Linked DNA regions of Saccharomyces cerevisiae S288C. The protein of the gene in region 1 purifies or fractionates together with the protein of each later gene. This does not show direct contact. Each region holds a gene or a part of one and is shown on either strand. Other genes may lie near its edges.

Region 1 (2,680 bases):
TTTTATTTATTTTTTTTTTTTTTGCGTAATACAAGCGAAGGCATTGTTTACATGCCAAAACCCAAAACTGAGCTCGAGAGAATAGTTGACGAACGGAAGCTGGATATCAACATAAAATAATGAGCTTACCCGATGGATTTTATATAAGGCGAATGGAAGAGGGGGATTTGGAACAGGTCACTGAGACGCTAAAGGTTTTGACCACCGTGGGCACTATTACCCCCGAATCCTTCAGCAAACTCATAAAATACTGGAATGAAGCCACAGTATGGAATGATAACGAAGATAAAAAAATAATGCAATATAACCCCATGGTGATTGTGGACAAGCGCACCGAGACGGTTGCCGCTACGGGGAATATCATCATCGAAAGAAAGATCATTCATGAACTGGGGCTATGTGGCCACATCGAGGACATTGCAGTAAACTCCAAGTATCAGGGCCAAGGTTTGGGCAAGCTCTTGATTGATCAATTGGTAACTATCGGCTTTGACTACGGTTGTTATAAGATTATTTTAGATTGCGATGAGAAAAATGTCAAATTCTATGAAAAATGTGGGTTTAGCAACGCAGGCGTGGAAATGCAAATTAGAAAATAGTATTGCTGTATAGTACATAGAGGTCGACATATATATATATATATATAATTTTATATGGCATCTAGAGCCTCTAGGGATATTATGGAGTTGCCCCTAATGACGGTCTGCAAGCCTAGCTGGTGGTTATTGGCAGGGTCTTCACCATTTATCTCCATTGCATCATCAAGAACGACGTTTAAGAAAATATCGTAGCCTCGCAAAATTCCTGCCACTTTCCTAGATCCATTTATATTCAGCAATATCTTCTTGTCCATATATTTCTTCAGTTCAGGGGTAGAAACCATTGTATCTGTGCGTGTGTTTGCGTAATCCTGTCCTATGCCGGATACTCTATATGCGTTGTACTTTCTTATACATTCATTGCACCTTTAGAGATTTAATTTTTCTTACCACATTGTTTCTATCAGCACAAACGTGAAAGAGCGTAGGCGAGGCTATAGGAAAAAAGGGAAATGAAGAACAGAGGAATACTCGAACAATGCCACTGACAAACGTATGCGTGACTACCACGAATAGTCATGATGCAATGTACCCTCATATATCCCACTAAAAATATATACTTACTAATGGTTTATGCACGTGAATATCACGTGAATCGTTTTTAATGATGACTCGTTTTTAGAATACTTTATCATCTCGAACGGCTGTTCCCTCATTGGCGAGAAGTCTCCGCGGAGCAACTTAATGGAAACTTAGTGTATTATAATGCTAATAAACAATTTGATGATAATTCGTACCCTTTGACTCACCTCGAATATATATAGATATATATATACATATAACGTATATTTATATATATACGGTTTTGTTCGATTGTCTCTGTCGTACCATCAAAGAACATACTAACAGTTCACAATGTTAAGAATCAGATCACTCCTAAATAATAAGCGTGCCTTTTCGTCCACAGTCAGGACATTGACCATTAACAAGTCACATGATGTAGTCATCATCGGTGGTGGCCCTGCTGGTTACGTGGCTGCTATCAAAGCTGCTCAATTGGGATTTAACACTGCATGTGTAGAAAAAAGAGGCAAATTAGGCGGTACCTGTCTTAACGTTGGATGTATCCCCTCCAAAGCACTTCTAAATAATTCTCATTTATTCCACCAAATGCATACGGAAGCGCAAAAGAGAGGTATTGACGTCAACGGTGATATCAAAATTAACGTAGCAAACTTCCAAAAGGCTAAGGATGACGCTGTTAAGCAATTAACTGGAGGTATTGAGCTTCTGTTCAAGAAAAATAAGGTCACCTATTATAAAGGTAATGGTTCATTCGAAGACGAAACGAAGATCAGAGTAACTCCCGTTGATGGGTTGGAAGGCACTGTCAAGGAAGACCACATACTAGATGTTAAGAACATCATAGTCGCCACGGGCTCTGAAGTTACACCCTTCCCCGGTATTGAAATAGATGAGGAAAAAATTGTCTCTTCAACAGGTGCTCTTTCGTTAAAGGAAATTCCCAAAAGATTAACCATCATTGGTGGAGGAATCATCGGATTGGAAATGGGTTCAGTTTACTCTAGATTAGGCTCCAAGGTTACTGTAGTAGAATTTCAACCTCAAATTGGTGCATCTATGGACGGCGAGGTTGCCAAAGCCACCCAAAAGTTCTTGAAAAAGCAAGGTTTGGACTTCAAATTAAGCACCAAAGTTATTTCTGCAAAGAGAAACGACGACAAGAACGTCGTCGAAATTGTTGTAGAAGATACTAAAACGAATAAGCAAGAAAATTTGGAAGCTGAAGTTTTGCTGGTTGCTGTTGGTAGAAGACCTTACATTGCTGGCTTAGGGGCTGAAAAGATTGGATTAGAAGTAGACAAAAGGGGACGCCTAGTCATTGATGACCAATTTAATTCCAAGTTCCCACACATTAAAGTGGTAGGAGATGTTACATTTGGTCCAATGCTGGCTCACAAAGCCGAAGAGGAAGGTATTGCAGCTGTCGAAATGTTGAAAACTGGTCACGGTCATGTCAACTATAACAACATTCCTTCGGTCATGTATTCTCACCCAGAAGTAGCATGGGTTGGTAAAACCGAAGAGCAATTGAAAGAAGCCGGCATTGACTATAAAAT
Region 2 (3,762 bases), on another chromosome or scaffold:
CTTCAGCTTTTTCAAGGAGTTCCGTTCCTTAATGCCACAAAACTGTTGAGATAGAGGACACGGTCTAAATGAGGAGTCAAAATAAAACAATCCTTCCTTCGGAACTCTTAAAAACCTACCGACATCCTCATAATTTGGTAAGGTGGCAGAAAGGCCTATTATTCTGGGGTATTCCTGGCCATATTTGGAAGCCCAAAATGTCCTAGCCACGATGCTTTCCAATACTGGTCCCCTGTCATCATGTAACAAATGTATTTCATCTATAATCAACAAACGAACAAGTTCTACGATGGCCAAATTATTTGAATTTCTAGTAGTTATGTCCCATTTCTCTGGCGTAGACACCAAAACCTGCGTCTCGTCAATTTGCTTTCTACTAAGCCTAGAATCACCAGTCAATTCAGCGACTTTTATACCTAGAAAAGCCAACCTCCTTTGAAATTCTCGGACTTGTTCCTGTACTAAGGCTTTCAAGGGTGCTATATAAACAATTTTAAATGCAGAAAGGTTTAATTTCTTAGTTTTCGGGTTATAATGATGGGATAAGGCTTTCAATACCGTCAATAACGCGATATTCGTCTTACCTGAACCAGTGGGTGCACATATTAGCATGTTTGAATCACCTTCAAATGCTGCGTGAAAAACCTTTGATTGTATAGGGTTTAAGGACGTTGTTTCCGATGAAGGAAACGCCTCCTGACACCAATCTGGTAGAGAAGTAATTTCTTTCAACTCATAATCAATAACAGGTTTGCTAGGAGCTGGAATATGTATTTCGTCATATTGTGGTTTCACCCTTTTGAATGATCCTTCCGGTAGGGATACTTTTGTCACGGTCATTAATTTAGAACTTTCGTCGAATTTAATCTTTTCCAAATCTATGACGGGCGGTATTGCTGGATTACTGAATTTTGTTCTTTTTGCTTCCGAAGACTGTGGCTGGTCGTCACCGGAATCGAGTTCACGCTTTGAGTGTGTAGTTTCTCTAAATTTATACTGTTCCACAAGATCATTCAAACCTTTTGCAACCATTTTCTCTATTAAGTTCGGTATTTCATTCTCTGTGCTCTTCGCCAGTCGTATGCCCCAAAAAATTGTAGATCTATTCTTGAGAATAAATTCAGCCAGTGATATATTCTCGAATTTAAGCAGATCAACCAACTTCTGCTCCAACGCTACTGGATTATGCTCAAGTGTTTCAATATCATTCAAAATTTTTTCTGACAGGTCTTGTATTACAGAGGTATCCTTGTAACCAAGCTCTGACCGAAGTTTTCTCTGCAAAAAAAATTCATCGATTGAGTATATCGGAACGCTCTCGATATTACTTGTTTTACTATCGGAGAGTTTAATTATATCGTTTTCAATGTTTGGCAATGCCCTCTTGTTTTTTTTTTTAGAATTGACTTCAACGTCATTGTAATCATATTCCTCATCATCATCTTCATTATCATTGATTTCTCCCCCAAGAACATTAGCATTGTTGGACATTTCTGTTACTTCTTCTTCATCTGATTTTTCATCATCGGCAAGAATTGCTACTGCTTGTTTATTGCTATTGTCAGGATGTGTTTCATAATCGGTAATGTTTTTCATAAGTTTAACTAATTCGTTAAACTTCAGGGAGTCTATATTGATGCCTAGCTCATGCTGGATCTTTTCCTTTCGCTCTTCAATATTACCATCCTCATTTTCCTCATTTTCTTTCAATTGTCTGATGAATATATCAGCAGTTCCAATAATAAGATCATGGGGTATATCATTGCCTAAAACTTCTGTAACCCACTGCAAAATCTGCTCGTAAGTTTCGACATTTGAGGGATCCTTTGGATAATAATGTAACCTGAAATCGGAGGAAGAATTCAAAATGGTGTTATGCTGCTGAATTTTTTTCAATGATGCGCTCTTTCCAGTTTTTTCAACGGCTACATCATTTTCTTTTAGTCCTTTATTAATGTTATTGCACAGGCCCTGTCCCATATCCTTAGCACTAATTCTACCACTCATGGATTTTGGTTGTGATATTTCCGCATCCCTTTGAGGATTTTGGCTGGTATTCATAAAGCGTTTATCAACTTTCAACACCTTATTGGACATCTCATCATAACGATAAATTTCTCTAATTTTTTTGGCCTTATCCTTCGTTTCATGCTCAGTCATTTTTAATAACGAAGGCTCACGGTAAATCTTCCAAAGCAATTACTTATATTTACCTTCACCTTATTTTACTCAAGATTATCTCTATTAGTGTATTATTCCTTTATAGTAGACATAGCTTTAGTAGCATAAATTTTTAATATTCTCGTAAAGAGCGACAATATTCAATATTAGATCGTCAAAGAAGCAAACACGCATTGATATCTGAGAGATCATCACAATGCGTTAATAGTACTTGATTCAACACCACTAATTATCAAGTTTGTTCCTGTCTGAATGATATGGATAGTACGAATTTGAACAAACGGCCCTTATTACAATATAGTCTCAGTTCATTGGGCTCGCAAATAACAAAATGGAGCTCATCTAGACCGACTTCGCCAGTTCGTAAGGCGAGAAGCACTGAAAATGACTTTCTTTCCAAGCAAGATACGTCTAGTATCCTCCCAAGTATCAACGACGACGGCGGTGAACAGTGGTACGAAAAGTTCAAGCCCAATTGTTTGGAGCAAGTGGCCATACATAAAAGAAAACTTAAAGATGTACAAGAAGCTTTAGATGCCATGTTTTTACCTAACGCCAAGCATAGGATCCTACTACTGTCTGGCCCCAGTGGATGCTCTAAAAGTACGGTCATAAAAGAACTCTCAAAAATCTTAGTTCCTAAATACAGACAAAACAGCAACGGAACGTCCTTTCGAAGCACCCCGAACGAGCATAAAGTGACCGAGTTTAGAGGTGATTGTATAGTCAACGATCTTCCTCAGATGGAAAGCTTTAGTGAGTTCTTAAAAGGCGCACGGTATCTTGTGATGTCCAACCTGTCATTAATACTTATCGAGGACCTTCCCAACGTCTTCCATATAGATACCAGACGTCGATTTCAACAACTTATATTACAGTGGCTATATAGTTCGGAGCCTCTATTACCTCCCCTTGTTATATGTATAACTGAATGTGAAATTCCAGAGAACGATAATAATTATCGCAAATTTGGTATTGATTATACATTTAGTGCAGAAACCATAATGAACAAAGAAATATTGATGCATCCAAGGTTGAAAAGAATTAAGTTTAATCCAATTAACAGCACTTTATTAAAAAAGCACTTGAAATTTATTTGTGTACAGAATATGAAAATGTTGAAGGAGAAAAATAAATGGAATAAAAGACAGGAAGTCATAGATTATATTGCGCAAGAGACTGGTGATATTAGGTCGGCCATTACGACCCTTCAATTTTGGGCGACATCAAGTGGAAGTTTGCCGATTTCAACCCGAGAATCCACCATATCATACTTTCATGCCATTGGGAAGGTGATACATGGTTCCCATAGCACGAATAACGATAACGAAATGATTAATAACCTCTTCGAAAATTCGAACAATTTGTTATCGAAAGAGGATTTCAAATTAGGAATATTAGAGAACTATAACACATTTAATAAAGGCGAATTCAGCATTTCTGATGCATCATCAATTGTGGATTGCCTGAGCGAGTGTGATAATATGAATGGTCTACCAGAATCCAATGAGTATGGTTTACGAGAAGTGCGCAAAACCTTTCGTAACATCAGTAAACAAGGCCATAATCATGGAACGGTTT

The links. The genes of interacting proteins can lie anywhere in the genome.
Region 2: the proteins of SMX2 (region 1) and BRR2 purify together in Saccharomyces cerevisiae (affinity purification with mass spectrometry; 5 studies listed by BioGRID, with this or other methods). This does not show direct contact.

What each region holds. Positions count from the first base shown.
Region 1 is NC_001138.5:101,902-104,581, reverse strand, and holds SMX2 (mRNA splicing protein SMX2), read right to left. Parts: upstream 884-2,680; coding exon 650-883; downstream 1-649. Other genes in the region: GNA1 (glucosamine 6-phosphate N-acetyltransferase), read left to right, coding at 120-599; LPD1 (dihydrolipoyl dehydrogenase), read left to right, coding at 1,455-2,680. UniProt on the Saccharomyces cerevisiae protein: Plays a role in pre-mRNA splicing as a core component of the spliceosomal U1, U2, U4 and U5 small nuclear ribonucleoproteins (snRNPs), the building blocks of the spliceosome.
Region 2 is NC_001137.3:533,862-537,623, forward strand, and holds the start of BRR2 (ATP-dependent RNA helicase BRR2), read right to left. Parts: upstream 2,161-3,762; coding exon 1-2,160. Other genes in the region: RAD24 (Rad24p), read left to right, coding at 2,439-3,762.